4 linked regions of the Ovis aries genome follow. The protein of the gene in region 4 binds, or shares a complex with, the protein of the main gene of each other region. Links are inferred from orthologs where the notes say so. Each region holds a gene or a part of one and is shown on either strand. Other genes may lie near its edges. The genes, in order: PTMA, NFE2L2, FBXL17 and KEAP1.

Region 1 (2,648 bases), on a different chromosome or scaffold from region 4:
ATCCAGTGAGGCCTTTGAGGTGAAGGGCACAGCTAGCAGCTGTCCCACAGGGAGGTGGCATCTCTGGGATCTTTGGCCCTGAGTTTTCACTTGGGCCTGGACAACCCCCTACCCCACCTCCTGGATCCAGAGGGCAGCCCCGCATGTAGCTTGTTCCCCCAGCCTATAGAGGTGTCGGCAGATTTCTAATGAAACTGGGTTAAACAATTTCAGTGTAGATGCTCTCACTACAATCCTAGGAAGGGATGAAGCTGGTAAGTGGCTCCCCCTTCAGCCCATAGCTCTATAGTGCTCCATCATGTCCCCATTAGCCAGTTGCAGCTCAGTACTTGACTACAGGATGGCCACCCACCAGACCCTGGTGCCAAGGGGCACACCTCTCCCAACTGAGGTCTCCAACCCACTGTCCCCAGGAAGGACAGCAGGTTCAAGATCCTCCCCTCTTCTTGCCCCTGCCCCTCTGGAGAAAGCCTAAAGAAACCAATACAGAAAAACCAGGCCTGAGACAGCTTTGTTAGAACAACTCAGCAAAATAAAATTCCGGTTTATTGTTGGACAACATTGTTTCACACATACATCAAACAGGCCAAAAAAATAAACAGCAACTTCATAGACAAAAAAAGGAAAAAAAAGAAACCTTTTATCTTTGGCCTTTTTAACCATCTCATACAAACCAACTACTTATAGTACAGCTAAGTACATACACAAAAAAAGTTACTGGAATGCTCGGAATAAGATTGTTTTTTTTTGTTGTTGTTTTTGCTTTTTTTACAAGGTTTTTTTTCTCCTTTGAGATTATAATGAACATGGTCACACCACAAGTAAAGTCAGAGTAGGACAGAGAACGCTCCGAAGGCTGGTTTGGTCATCCGAGATCATTAAAAATGGCTGACCCCTAACAATATGTACAAAAATATAAAATGTAAATAAAAAATACAAACAAATTTTCCTTTTTAAAGTACTTTAAGAAAAAAAGCAGGGCCTTGGAAGTTTTGGTTCTTTCTTTTTCCTCCCCTGTTGCAAATTCACGTTGTGGTTTTGGTTGGGTGGTGGAGAGCGCTGTCGTCTGTGGGTGGCGCTGCCCGCCAGGGGCGGGCGGGCGGGACTCTCTACTCGAAGGTGACCACGTTTAGATTCTGAGACGGGAAGTGGAGGGTGAATAGGTCACGGCGGCCTTTTTTTTTTTTTTTTTAAGTTTAACTTTTCCTTTTTTGCTGTCTAGTCATCCTCATCAGTCTTCTGCTTCTTGGTATCCACATCGTCATCCTGGGAAGGGAAGGATTGTCAAGGTCTCTTCCAATCCCCTGGGCCCACCCACCCACTGGCTGAGCTCCTAAGGGCCAAACTAAAACCAGGCATGCGCGGTCCCATAGGCCCCTGTTCCCACTCCAGCTCAAGAGGAGAAGGACCACACCCCGCACCTTATGACCACTTTTAAGCCCCATCAAGCCCTCCAGTGTTAGTGTCTCAGATCCCAGCCCTCTGGCCCAACTCAAGCCAGACCAGACCCACCTCGTCATCTTCAGCTGCCCGTTTGCCCGTAGCTGCCTCAGCCTCCTCATCTTCATCTCCGTCCTCTTCCTCACCTGGTGAGAACAAAGCCCAAGTAAACCACTCTGCCTTCCTCAACTAACCGGGCACAGTGGGTCCTGGGACTCTCCCACTCAGTGGCAGGCAGCAACAGGTAGGGTGGGGGGGTGGACACGATGACAGGAAAACTGCAGCTCCTTGGGCAATCTCCAGCAACAGAGTAACCAGGGTTGAGTGCCGCTGAGCCATCTCTGCTGCCTGACAAGCTGGGCAGTCACTGCACCCACACTGCCCATCACGGGCAGCTTATCATCAGAGGTAAGACCCAAGCGAAACCAGAGAAGCCCCACCAACCAACTGATCAGGGCATGGAGGGCACTCTCCAGTGGGCGTTGAGTGTGGTGCTAGGGGCACAGCCCCACAGTCACTAGCCTAAAGTGAGAAAGATGCTGGCTTTGTGGCTATAAGCCCAGTTGGAGGTGGTGCCTTGGACCTGCCACCCCCCAGGAAGACCCCAGTCCCTCCCCATCTGCTAGGAAGACCAGAAGGTACTAGAGGAACAAAGCTACTCACCATCACCTTCCTCCTCCTCCTCCTCTTCCTCCCCACCTTCCTCCTCTTCTTCGTCTACCTCGTTGTCAGCCTCCTGCTCCCCATTTTCCTCATTCTCCTCGACAGAAAGCAGAGCAGCTTGTTGATGAGGACAGAACATCACTCTGCCCCCAACATCACTTCTTCCAGACCCTACCCTGGGCTTCTACAGAACAGACCCCCGGAGAGATGCCCCCTGAAGTTCCAGCCAGAGATCCCAATACAGAACTGGCTAAGGCCTCAGCCCCCCGCCCGACCCTTGATTAAGCCCAAAGTCTTAAGTAAGAACTCCAGGCCAGGAGCTGCCGGGAGTGGGGGGGTGGGTCATGACCACAACAGACACTCACAGCATTCCCATTGGCAGGTGCCTCTCTCCCATTCTCCGCCTCCTCCACAACTTCCTTCTTCTCCTTTAAGTCCTTCAAAAAGGAAAAGGGAACCAGTAAGTCTTCTGAGTAGCCTAGGGCTGGCAAAGGGGCCCGAACCTACAGGTAGGAGGGATTCAGTGACAATCCTGATGTCCCAAG
Region 2 (4,361 bases), on a different chromosome or scaffold from region 4:
GGTTTCTTTTTCTCATGTAGCTCTGTAAGTAAAATTCGTGTATTTAGCTTTCAATTCTTCCTGATTATCCTAAAGAAAGTCAGATTTTGGGGTTTCCCCTCCCAGCACTGTTTATAAAAACCCAAGTTGACAAGAAAGAGTCCAAAATGGCCCATGCTACTTTTAATGCAGACTGATGTGAGTTACGTTTTTATCCTACTACAATCTTTCACAATCTCTCAAGAGGTTTTTTTCCAAATATCTAAAAAGTCAAGTTGTTCTTTGCTCAACCTTCTGGAGATGAGAGGGAGGCCTTATTTTTCTTTGGAAGTTACCTACCTAGTCCAAGATCAACTTCATTCCTCATATGCAAAAATACTTTCTCCAAGACAGCTTTGAAAAGGGTAGATGATTCCTTCCAGAAGCTAATGGAAATTCAGAATGTAAAACTCTACTGCTCTTCATCAACACCTCCTTTGCACAAAGGGGGAAGAACTTTTACCCCCGTACCACCTCCTGCCTGGTGTTTCTTTGACAAGAGGTTAGAATCCACTTATGACTCTGTCCAAATCTTCCTGGACTACAAAGATTTAATATGAATCTTAGTTACAGGCATGACATTAACTCTAAATTTTATTCCATTTTCTTTTATACTCTTCGCATATGCAAACTGAGGTCTGATTACAAAGGGTGGAAAGGGAGTTACCTTAACAAACATAATTGGAAAGTTCACATTTAAAAGAAAAAGCAGTAAAGATGTTTACCCACTTTTGTATATGGAATGGTAAATTATATAGTTAAGAAAGAAATAAAAACTTCAGTAATATACCCCTCTAGGCTACATTCCTGAATCTGGGAAAACTAGAGTCCATTAGCATCATATATCCTTTGGTCATATAGATTATTAAAGAAATGGCTATAGGGACTGAACAGCAGCTGAATCGGAAAGCACAATTTATTTCTTCATATCGTGGGGAGGAAGGAACACAGTCTTAATCACTACTGGGGGAAAGTTCAAGACAACAGCTTCCAAGGGAAAAAAAAGGCACAATCACTACATTGTCAATATATCAAAACCTTACTTCAGGATTAGTCTAAAGCTTGATGTTTAAGAGCTTAAATATATTTACCGTTCCTATTAGGTTACACATTTCCTTGAACTAAATATTTTTCCAAAAAACGCATTCACACGCACAAATTGGAAATAAAACTATCTACTCCTTTAAAAAGTCCCTACAAAATATACACAGAAACTTGTTCCCACATTTGCGACATTTACAGAACTTGTTAGCGAAGTTTTATGAGACACAGCTGTCCCACCCTCTGCCCTCTCAAAAGCAACATACTAGGAAAGCAATTGAGGCAAATTCTCAAACAGAAAAGGAAAACTACATAAAGCACCCAAAAGAGAAACAATGTATGAAAGCGCAACATTTAGTAACAGCCTAAAAACAACAGAAATGCTAATCTACACTCGAAATTCTTACCCTTGACAGCAGAGAACAGAATATCCTGCCTTACACATTTTGGAATTGCAATTCCGAAACGCTAAATCCAAAGACAAAGCCGCCCTAGGGAAAATAACAATTGCGCAACAGATCAACAGCTCCAACTTGTCCCTTGGCCCCGGCGCGGCAAGGTTTGCACGCTACAAAGCAGGAAAGGGCCCACTGAGGGCCGCCGTGACAGCCAACCGGCCACTGTCACGGCGCCGGGACGACGCTCGCGGCGTGCGCCACCGGGAAGCACAGCGCCGGGATCGAGAAGCCCCGGGGAGCTGGGGTGGGGTGGGGGGCGAAGGCCCGTCGGACTTCAGAGTCCACCGCCCCACCCGCCCTTGCCGGCGTATTGCTAGGGGCCGACTCAGAGTTCTAAGAGCCCGAACCCTTCCCTCGGGGCGAGGCGGCGCGCAGGGCAGGGTTCGATCGCCGTACGTCGGGGAAACCGAGTGCGCTGGGCGCTTGGTGACCTCCTCCTGCCCCCACCCTGGGAGCTGGGCATTTTCGCCAAGCGGCCTCAGGGCGATCGCAAGGCTGGAGTGATTGATCACTCTGCCTAAGAGAACCCTCAGCAGGGTAAGAGCGCCGCGGCTCGCGCCCGCGGAGGTCTTGAGCAGAGGAGCAGCGGCAGAGGAGGGGTTCCGGGTCCCAGCCCGGAGACCTCAGTTCCCCCGAGAGTGGCCCCGTGACTAGGCACATTTTTGCCGGCTCCGAGGCGGGGGAGCCGCGCAGCCCCGGAAGGGCCGGGCCGCGCCGGCTCAGACCGCCAGTGTCCGCCCTCTCCTACCCGGTTGCCTCCCGGCCGCTCAAACTCGGAGAGGGGGCCGGCCGCGGCTCCAGCATCTCGGCTCCGGCGACCGGGGACGCGGTTAGAGACGCACTTCGCCCCCACGCGCGCTGGCGTAGCCCCCCAACCCCAACCCTACCGCCCTCGGGGGCTGCGGGCGCGTTGTCAGTCACACCATTCCCCGCGCCCCCATACCCCTCGCAGCCCTTGGGGTCGCCACTCCCCTCCCCCGGCCCCAGCTCAAGCGCGGCGGCTCTGGTGTGTGCGCGGCAGCTGCAGTCCGCTCCGGCCACAGACGGGGAAAGAGGCCGATGCGGCTGTCCCTCCCGGGCCGCGGCTCCCTCGCGCCCCTGCTCCCGTCCTGGCACCACCTGCTGGGACGGCAGTCCCGGCGGGGGCAGCTCCAAGTCCATCATGCTGAGCTGGGGACGGTGCTTTGAGGCTCCCCGACGGCGGCCCTGTTCCGGCTGCCGAGGCTTGGAGCGGACACGGCGGTACTGGTGGCGGCGGCGGCTCCTGGGGGATCCTAGGAACTCGCTTCTCCCTGACTTGGCCGGAGTCGCCGATCGGGCTCTTGTCCCGCTCCGCCTCCCGCCCCGCGAGGGCGGGGCGAGAGCCCAAGGCCCTTCCTTCCCCAGCCAGCCGCCCGGGCCGACCTTCCGAAAATCCCCCACCCTCGCCGGGCTGACGCAAGAAGCTGGCCGTCCTGGGGCGGGAAAGAGTTGCGGGCGGGGGTCTCAGGGGCGGCTGCGGGCAGGCAGAGTGCCGGAGGAAGGCCCCCGAAGCTCGCCTGCCTCCGCTGTCAGTTTGCCCTTCTAGCGAATACGGCCATCGCTCCCCGCCCGTGGGATTGAGTTGTTTGCCGAAGGTCGCTGGGGTTCGGGTGCTTTGAAACAGTTTAAACAGTTGAAACAAACATGCTTGGAGACTCGGCAAAGGCGATGGTATCGGAGCTGCGCCTCCCTGCTTTGGATTTGCAGAACCTTGCCCGGCTTTCTCTCTCCCCACCGCCCGAGAGTGGCGCCAGCCCGGGGGGTGGGGGCCGGAAGCCGGGACCTGGGCCCAGCTCACGGCGAGCTGCCCTCTCGCTCCGGCTCAGCCAGTGAGACTGGCCCGGGGGAAGAGTGGACCGCGCGGGGAGCTCGTGCTCGGTCACCCTGATCGCCCTCCACTTACTCCCACGCCTTGCACTCTGGCCAGGCTTCAGTCCCCGAGGGCGAATGGAGAAGTCTCTTTGGATCGGAGAGTGGTCGAGCTTGCCCATCCGGAGCATTCTCTTCCCACCAGAGTGCACACGCCACACCATAGATGGCGATTTTTAACCCTGTTCGATATTACAAACGTGTCATAACCTCTAGAAGTTTTCACGTACTCAAGATACGATTTTAAAAACAAAAACGCAAAAAACAAGTTATAAAACTGTGTAGTATGGACCCGTTCTGTGAAAGCATGTACCTAGAAAAAAAAAAGTTCTTCAAAATATTACTAGTAATATTAATAGTTGCAGGACCTTGAATGATTTTTATCTCTTTGTTACTTTAAGTATGTTTTAAATCTACGATAAATGTGTATTATTCACTGCACCTTAAAAACAATTATTTAAAAAGTAGTCAGTGCCCAGAGCAAACTTCAAGTACTTGAAAACAGGAATATTGTGAAATCTTATGATTTAAAAAAGAATAGAGAAATGGTTTAGTTTTGTTTTCTCTTATGCAACAGCACTCTTTCTAGCTCTTTAACAAGCCTGATTTTCAGTTTATCACTTCTTCGAATTATGCAAAACCAGGTGGAGTAGACAGTGTCTGGCACTGGTTTTACTATTTCATTCAAAAACCTGACGCCAAAAAAAGAAAAAGAAAACCATAAAAGCCTGACTACAGCAGACCAACGCCCCCAAAGCTGCAAAGAACTTACTTTCTCTTGGTTGCGTAATTTGACCCTCCCAGGACTTACCTGTTGATTTATATGTTGGAATATTTCTTAAGGTAAGTGAAGCCTAAATTAATTGCCTGTAATTGAAGTAAGTTTCTTCAATTTGAATTAAACTTTCAGCTGTTAAGTGAGAAGGCTGCAAAATGATCTGCACACTAACAACA
Region 3 (4,100 bases), about 92 Mb from region 4:
CTGCAGATGGTGACTGTAGCCATGAAATTAAAAGACATTTGCTCCTTTGAAGAAAAGCTATGACCAACCTAGACAGCATATTAAAAAACAGAGCCATCACTTTGCCAACAAAGGTCCGTCTAGACAAAGCTATGGTTTTTCCAGTAGTCATGTATGAATGTGCGAGTTGGACCATAAAGAAAGCTGAGCACCGAAGAATTGATGCTTTTGAACTGTGGTGTTGAAGACTCTTGAGAGTCCCTTGGATTGCAAGGAGATCTAACGAGTCAATCCTAAAGGAAATCAGTCCTGAATATTCATCGGAAGGACTGGTGTTGAAGCTGAAAGTCTAATACTTTGGCCACCTGAGTGAAGAAGTGACTCACTGGAAAATAACCTGATGCTGGGAAAGACTGAAGGTGGGAGGAGAAGGGGACGACAGAGGATGAGATGGTTGGATGGCATCACCGACTCAATGGACATGGGTTTAGGTGAACTCGGGGAGCTGGTGATGGACAGGGAGGCCTGGTGTGCTGCGGTTTATGCGGTCGCAAAGAGTCGGACACGACTGAGCGACTGAATTGAAATTACCTGATAAGTGCGTTTATCCTGAAATGCACTTAGGGAAAGCCGGTCCGTCCCTAGCAACAGGTGTCCGCAGACAAGCGCAGAAACACGGCAGAGCCGGTCCACCCGTGAGTCCCTCGCGGGAGAACCATTCTCGCGGAGAGCACGCCGGGCACCCGGGCTGGCCTCGGGCGGGACCGGGTCTCCTCAGCGGCCTCGGCGTCCGGTCGGGCGGTGAGAGCGCCGGTTCCCGGCCAATGGCGGTTCCCGAACGTGCGCCTAGCGACGTCAGCGCGACTGTGCCCACGGACGTCACCCGACGAGCTCGGAGGCGGCTCCCCCCGGTCCCACGAAGGGGGCGTGGGCTCCGGGAGACCGCGGGCGACGGGGACAGGGGGCGGTGAGCCCGCACCCGTGACGGCGGGCCCGGCCGAGCGGCCCTCAGGGGGCGAGCGGCCACGCGCGCCGCCGAGGCCCCGCCCCCTTCCCGATCGGCCACACCCCCTTCCCGAGCGGGCCGCGCGCTCCCGAGCCGCCCCCCCGCCGCTGAGGCCCCGCTCCCTCCCCGATCCGGCCGCGCGCTCCCGCTTCGCCTCCCCGCACGCGCCTCCGCCGCGGCCCCGCCCCTTCCCGCTCGGGCCGCGCGCTCCCGCTCCGCCTCCCCGCGCGCGCCTCCGCCGCGGCCCCGCCCCCTTCCCGCTCGGGCCGCGCGCTCCCGGCGCGCCGAGCTGTGCCGCGGGCGCGCGCGCCGCCGCCGGCAGAGCCGCCGTTAAAGTGGTCTGAGGCGCGCCCCGCGCTTCCCCCGCCGCCGCCCTGACCAACTGAGGCGGCGGCCCAGGCTGCGAGCAGCCGCGCGGTCAGCAGGCTCGCCGGCCTCCGTCGGGTCCCAAGAGCTCGCGCCCCGCCGTGGTCTCCCGGCGTCCCGGGGCAGAGCATGTAGCCCCCCAGCGCCGCGTGTGTGCCCGTGTGTGTGTGTGCCCGCGTGTGCCCGCGGGCCCGAGGCCGACCCCCGCGCGGCCTGCCCTGACCCGGCCCCTGCGCGGGGCCTCCCCTATGGGCCTCCTGCTCTCGAAGGAGCCGCGCCGCCGCCCGCGCCAGAAGCGGCCCCGCTGCGGCAGCTGGTGGCGCCGCCGCCGCCGGCCTCTCCTCAGGTGGCCCCGCGGGGCCCCGGCCAAGGCGGCGGCGGCGCCCCGGGGCCGGGACTGCCTCTTCCGCGGGCCCTGCATGCTCTGCCTCGTCGTGCACGGCCCCGGCGCGCCCGCCCCCGCCGGCCCGGAGGAGGAGCCGCCGCTGTCGTCGCCGCGGCCGCTCGGGGCCTACGGCGCGGCCGCCTCCTCACAGCCCCCGGCGCGGCGCCGCGCGGGCCTGGCCGCTGAGGACGCCGCGCGCCGCCTTCTGCTCTCGGCCGCCGCCGCCGTCGCCGCGCCGCCCGCCCCCGGCCGCGGGGAGCTGGGGCCGGCCGCCGCCGCCGCCCGGGAGCGGCCGGCCCGGAGCCTCCTGTGGGCCCGCGCGGGGCCCGTGCGTCCGCCCGCGCCGCCCGCCGCCTCGCGGCTCTTCCGGGCGCCGCCGGCCGAGCCCCCTGCGCCCCCCGAGATGGTGTGCAAGCGGAAGGGGGCCGGGGTCCCCGCCTGCACCCCCTGTAAGCAGCCCCGCTGCGGCGGGGGCGCCTGCGGCGGAGGCGGCGGCGGCGGCGGGCCTGCGGGCGGCGGCCCCGAGCAGCACCCCCCGCCGCCGCTCCGCGCCCCGCGCTCCCCCGCCGCTCCGGGAGGGGCCCCCGCGGAGGCCGGCGGGGACGCGGTCCGAGCGGGGGGCGCCGCCCCCTCGGTCGCCCGGCAGCAGCAGCACGAGTGCGGCGACGCCGACTGTCCGGAGGGCCCCGATCCGCCGTGCGACTGCCACAGGGAGCCGCCCCCCGACGCCCCGGACATCAACCAGCTGCCGCCCTCCATCCTGCTTAAGGTGGGTCTGCGTGCCCCCCACCCCCCGCCGGGCCCGCTCGGGGGTTCTCTCTGCTGCACGCCCCGCGGGGGGGCCTCCCTGACACCCGGTTATTTCAGGTGCAGGGGCTTGGAGTCCGCTGAAGGTCCTTTTAATCGCTTGGGTCTGCTGCGCGTAATCCCGGTTCACCTAGGAGAGTCCCAAGCCCACTGTTGTAGAAACTGTAGGTTTTCTGTGAAAAAAAAAAAGAAAAAAAAAATTTTTTTTTTTTTAATCCCTTGAGCGGTTTGCACTTAACCGAGTAAAGACTTGTATATTAGTGTTGGAAAGTGTTCAGACAGTAATTTCAGATTTGATAACTGCTAGCTGATGTCAAAAAACAGTTACCTTTTATCTATCGAGCACTTGACCACGATGATCAGGCACAGTGCCAGAGCTTTATATACATAATATCTCACCGAATCCTTCAGTTGACGCCATGAAAGAAATATTGTTAACATCTTTACACAAGAAGAAACCGATGTATCAGCGCAAGTGCCTACAGTCGAAAGTCAGGCCGACGTGGTGTGTGTTCCTGTGGAGCTTACAGGCCAGCGGTGCTTCAAGGGGCTGAATGACTTGCCCAAGGTCACACACAGACAGATCTGCGGAGTTTAGGCCTGTCTGACTTGAAAACCCTTTTATTTATGCTATGTTCTATTATCTTAGGTAATGCAGACAGATTACCAGACGGTAAGGACAAGTGTATTTTTTGTTGGGGGGATACGTGTGTGGGGAAGAGGTAGATATCCCGTGGAAACCTGGTCCCACTTTCAGCTACCAAGTAAAATTTGCAGTTTTGTCAAGCAGCAGCAGCAGTGATGAATTTAAGTACGTGATACTTTGTAGTAAGTTAGTATTAAAAAGTTTCTTTTCCGTTCATTTTCTCTCCTCTCTCACCCCCACACTGCAGCTTTCTGGAGCTTATAAATATAAACCCCCTTTATCACTGTGGATGATATTTAAGACTAACTAGAAAAACCTAGATAAGAATTTGGCTAGTTTTATTGTTATTGAAGTAGCTGTCATCAATTATAATTTTTATTCTGAACAATATACTTTGATTGGACTTTTTGCATGTTTATAATCCTGTGTGCTTGGATTTGTTTTACTGTGATATTAATATTTTTGTAAATAATATAGCAAAGAACTGGGAAAGCTTAACTTTTCCACATGTCCAAGAGGATGAGATGGTTGGATGGCATCACCGACTCAATGGACTTGAGTCTGAGTGAACTCCGGTAGTTGGTGATGGACAGGGAGGCCTGGCGTGCTGTGGTTCATGGGGTCACAGAGTCAGACACGACTGAGCAACTGAACTGAAGTTGTTTACCTTTCAGTAGTGTATTTTTGAAGGAGTAATTACTGCCTCTGTATGTTCAGGCTGTGCATTTTAGGGCAGAGGGAATGTTCTTGAATCTTTTAACTTAGTGGACAACATGGACAAATGAAATATCCACAGATATTTGGCATAGAGGTTTGATTGCTGTCTTGTTATTTGGTAAGTAAGACTGTTTAAAAACAAAGTAAAAAGCAGATACTTCCCACTTTCTACCTAAACTGTCATTATTTCATGA
Region 4 (3,561 bases):
CCCACCTTGGGCGCCCGGCAGGGCATCACCTGCGTGGGCTTGTGCAGGGTGAGCTCCTGGAAGATCTTCACCAGGTAGTCCTTGCAGCGGGAGTCCGACTGCAGGATCTCACACTTCTGCAGCTGCATCTGCAGGAAGTGGGGCGTGAGCGAGTGGCAGCGCACAGCCCGCAGCAGCGCCTGCACGTAGAAGCGCCGCTGCTCGCAGTCATACTTGACCCAGTTGATGCAGGCGTGGAAGACCTCAGACTCGCAACGCACATTCAGGTCATCCCGGCTGATGAGGGTTGCCAGCTGGCAGTGGGACAGGTTGAAGAATTCCTCTTGCTTGGCCACCTGCAGAGGGCGACAGTGCCATGGGCTGACTTAAGGTCTCTCTCCACTCCCACCTGCCAGGAGCCAGCACAGGAGATCCCACCCATGACAAGGTCATGAGGAGAGACCTGACAGGCAAGGAGGATCAGGACTCGAGGGACTCCTTGGACCTGCTCGAGCATCTACCCAGATAACAAAATCTGTCTACCGTTTACTATATTATGCCTTTCACTTACTCGTCTGGCATTAACAGGGGCTATCCCCGACCACCTTTCTCTGGAGAAAATCAACTTAGGGCTCTAGTTGATAAGTCTCCTGGGCATGAAAGGAATATTTCAATTCAAACCTCTCTGTTAGCATTCTAACTTGCGTGGCAGGTTTATCCATACTCTTAAAACTAACGCACATACATGATTGTTCACAATTTCCCAACCATGAAAGGCAGGGGAACTTAAACATTCTAAAGTCCTAATAGGCATAGAGCCCTTTGAGGAGCAAAAATTATTAGAATAGTGCTGGTGAAGGATTTCATTGTTGAGCCAGTGCTTGCTGCCAAGTTTCCATATCCCTTACCCATTGTGTGCCTGGGAGTATACTAGTTAATATAGTTGGTATGTAGGGAAAATAAGTAGTAGCCTTGGTGTTAGCAACATTAGACCTTTGAGTTAATAAATTTTTTCTTTGTTATAACCCACTGCACCTTTGTCCCATAGGAATGTAACTTTATTTAGTACTTTCTGAGAGTGGTGCCGGACTTTAGAACAAACACTTTTAGAGAAAATAAGTTTTCTAGTTGACTAACCTTTATCAGAAAAAAGGGTCATAAAATGTTAACAGGCCTCCAGGCCAGAAGAGGATGTAAATCACATAAGACCTTTGTATATAGAAAGGTATGCAGAAAGAAAGCCTGGTTTCAATAAGGGTCAGAACTGCTGACCCTGCATGACTCTGCATCTTCCATCCCCCTCTATGTACAACCCAAGGTATGAAAGCTCTTTTTAAAAATAAAGTTACAGACCTGTTCCACCTAAGCTTGGTTTCCCCGTCTCTCTCTCTCTCTCTCTCTCCAATGCCGTCCATCCTGAGGGAACCCCGGATCCTGCTGGGGCTGGACCCCGACACATACCCCCCAGCCCCTTGCCAAGCCCCTGCCAGGACCTTGGACAAGACACTCAATCTGCCTCTGCTAACTCAGCTTCCTCAGGTGTGAAATAGGCATTTGAGGGACTTCCCTGGTGGTCCAGTGATTAAGAATCCACCTGCCAATGCAGGGGACACAGGTTTGATCCCTAGACGGGGAAGATACCGCATGCCTTGGGGCAACTAAGCCCATGTGCCGTAATCTTGAGCTCTTGCTCTAGAGCCCGTGCTCCACAAGAGAAGCCACTGCACTGAGGAGCCTGCACAGCGCAATTAGAGAAAAGGCCCTGCTCACTGCAACTAGAGAAAGCCTATGAGCAGCAACGAAGACCCAGCACAGCCACAAAGAAATAAAATTTAAAGAAAAGAAACAGGCATTTGAATAGCACGGAACTCTCAGTGTGTGAGAATTCAAGGAGTTAACACTACATGCCAGGCACATAGCAGGTAAGCACATAAATGAGAAAAAGAAACAACGTCACCTCTTAGATTCTGTATCATTTTGTATCTGAACTGTAAGAATGTTGCCCCTTTCTTTTTTTAATGAAATTATTTTTTCAAAAGAGCAGACTGACTTCAAAGGAAATGCTGCTGCTGCTAAATCACTTCAGTCGTGTCTGACTCTGTGAGACCCCATAGACGGCAGCCCACCAGGCTCCCCCGTCCCTGGGGTTCTCCAGGCAAGAACACTGGAGTTGGTTGCCATTTCCTTCTCCGATGCATGAAAGTGAAAAGTGAAAGTGAAGTCACTGAGTCGTGTCCAACTCTCAGCGACCCCATGGACTGCAGCCTGCCAGGGTCCTCCATCCATGGGATTTGCCAGGCAAGAATACTGGACTGGGGTGCCATTGCCTTCTCCGTCAAAGGAAATAGCAACACAGTATGTTAGAAAGAAAATAAAATTCAGGCTTGAAGAAAGCAGCCTGAGTTGCAGTGTTGGCCCACTACCTTCTAATTGTACCACCTTGGGCAAAAACCTAAAACACTCCGTGCCTTGGTTTTCTTCCTCTATAAAAGGAGGATTATATTAGTCGCTAACTCCTAGCAGGGTTATTGCTAAGGTAAATATTTCTTATGTGGCACTGGTCTATATAAATAATTTGTCACCCCACATCAGCGGGATCCCAGCTTCCTGTTACCTCAAGCCGAGACAACCCCTTGACACTACTGTTGTGCAGGTCAGTGGGACAACCCTGTTCTTGGGCCACCATCCTGGAAGCCATAAGTCCTAAGACTAATGTCAGAGCTTCTTGGGGCATCTGGTCAACCCCCAAGATGGTAGAGAAGGAGAGGCACAGAGACCAAGGGTAGTGTCCACCTAGCTGGTCCCAGCCACGGGAGGATGATTTTAAAAATTTCCAGAAGGGGGGAGTTCCCTGGTGGTCCAGTGGTTGGGACTCAGGGCTTTCACTGCCAGGACCAGGGTTCCATCCCTGGTCAGGGAACTAAGATCCTGCAAGCTGTGTGGTGTAGCAAAAAAAAAAAATCCAGGAAGGCACTCCAAAGCATACCTCCTCCTAGGATAGCTGGGAAGACTCAGATTTAAAGGCTGGAAATCACTTAGAACAGAGGCTGGCCCACACCAAGTACTCAACAAGCACTCATGTTCTCTACTCACAACTTCCTCCACTTGAAAATGAAAATGAAACAAAGATTAGTCTGAGCACAATACTCTGTGGACTAAAGAAAACCACCACAGTGTAAGGGTCACACTGGCCATTGACAGCATGTCACGGGTGTTCAATAAATATTTACTGACTGCCTGGAACGTCAGGCCCTGCTCAGGGCAGCCTACGGTGGAACTGCTGTCAGAGTCACTGCCCTCTGTCCCCACCTTTGACCCCAGGGAGCCCAGACATCCATGACAGTCTCACTTTCTTCAGCTGTTTCCTAGATTTGTCACAGACATCTAGACTGGGAGCTCAACCCTACTTTTCTCCATCTCCTTGCCTTGATCCTTCACCTCTCAAGGGGAGATGGTGATGACCACCTGTCTGTTTCCTGGCCCTCCAAGGCTGCTCTGAAGCCCTGGTGCCATGTCCCCATCCCTCACTCACCTCCCCAAAGTGCATGTAGATGTATTCCCGGGCACGCTGGTGCAGCTCCG

The links.
Region 1: the proteins of KEAP1 (region 4) and PTMA are in contact, whole or in part, in a crystal structure (PDB 2Z32), measured with the Mus musculus proteins. The link is inferred for Ovis aries from reciprocal best matches to the Homo sapiens genes KEAP1 and PTMA. Residues at the interface, in NP_001103775.1 of Mus musculus: Tyr334, Ser363, Arg380, Asn382, Arg415, Phe478, Arg483, Ser508, Gly509, Tyr525, Gln530, Ser555, Ala556, Tyr572, Gly574, Phe577, Ser602; in NP_032998.1 of Mus musculus: Gln40, Asn41, Glu42, Glu43, Asn44, Gly45, Glu46, Gln47.
Region 2: the proteins of KEAP1 (region 4) and NFE2L2 are in contact, whole or in part, in a crystal structure (PDB 3WN7), measured with the Mus musculus proteins. The link is inferred for Ovis aries from reciprocal best matches to the Homo sapiens genes KEAP1 and NFE2L2. Residues at the interface, in NP_001103775.1 of Mus musculus: Tyr334, Ser363, Gly364, Arg380, Asn382, Pro384, Asp385, Gly386, Asn387, Asn414, Arg415, Ser431, Gly433, Cys434, His436, Ile461, Phe478, Gly480, Arg483, Ser508, Gly509, Tyr525, Gln530, Ser555, Ala556, Tyr572, Phe577, Ser602, Gly603; in NP_035032.1 of Mus musculus: Leu19, Ile22, Leu23, Arg25, Gln26, Asp27, Ile28, Asp29, Leu30, Gly31, Val32, Val36, Phe37, Phe39.
Region 3: the proteins of KEAP1 (region 4) and FBXL17 are in contact, whole or in part, in a crystal structure (PDB 6W66), measured with the Homo sapiens proteins. The link is inferred for Ovis aries from reciprocal best matches to the Homo sapiens genes KEAP1 and FBXL17. Residues at the interface, in NP_036421.2 of Homo sapiens: His59, Thr60, Ala63, Ile66, Met67, Glu69, Leu70, Gln75, Leu76, Gln82, Lys84, Ala90, His96, Val98, Ala101, Ser102, Ser103, Ser104, Pro105, Val106, Lys108, Ala109, Met110, Thr112, Asn113, Gly114, Val122, Ser124, Glu126, Gln163; in NP_001156787.2 of Homo sapiens: Asp395, Arg397, Arg421, Lys423, Asn447, Gln473, Tyr475, Met524, Arg548, Asn572, Cys574, Leu575, Trp577, Glu596, Tyr598, Val600, Ser601, Asp623, Trp626, Lys628, Tyr647, Met651, Arg652, Val676, Leu677, Asp679, Cys680, Thr683, Leu684, Arg686.

The regions. Positions count from the first base shown.
Region 1 is NC_056055.1:233,412,053-233,414,700, reverse strand, and holds the end of PTMA (prothymosin alpha), read right to left. Parts: intron 2,541-2,648; coding exon 2,469-2,540; intron 2,201-2,468; coding exon 2,104-2,200; intron 1,587-2,103; coding exon 1,513-1,586; intron 1,267-1,512; coding exon 1,219-1,266; 3' UTR 511-1,218; downstream 1-510.
Region 2 is NC_056055.1:132,851,704-132,856,064, reverse strand, and holds the start of NFE2L2 (nuclear factor erythroid 2-related factor 2), read right to left. Parts: upstream 2,830-4,361; 5' UTR 2,682-2,829; coding exon 2,637-2,681; exon of another isoform or gene 2,287-2,636; intron 2,152-2,286; exon of another isoform or gene 1,914-2,151; intron 1,497-1,913; exon of another isoform or gene 1,467-1,496; intron 1-1,466.
Region 3 is NC_056058.1:104,988,363-104,992,462, reverse strand, and holds the start of FBXL17 (F-box/LRR-repeat protein 17), read left to right. Parts: upstream 1-1,281; 5' UTR 1,282-1,599; coding exon 1,600-2,505; intron 2,506-2,619; exon of another isoform or gene 2,620-2,716; intron 2,717-2,871; exon of another isoform or gene 2,872-3,078; intron 3,079-4,100. UniProt on the Homo sapiens protein: Substrate-recognition component of the SCF(FBXL17) E3 ubiquitin ligase complex, a key component of a quality control pathway required to ensure functional dimerization of BTB domain-containing proteins (dimerization quality control, DQC).
Region 4 is NC_056058.1:12,864,359-12,867,919, forward strand, and holds part of KEAP1 (kelch-like ECH-associated protein 1), read right to left. Parts: coding exon 3,512-3,561; intron 336-3,511; coding exon 1-335. UniProt on the Homo sapiens protein: Substrate-specific adapter of a BCR (BTB-CUL3-RBX1) E3 ubiquitin ligase complex that regulates the response to oxidative stress by targeting NFE2L2/NRF2 for ubiquitination.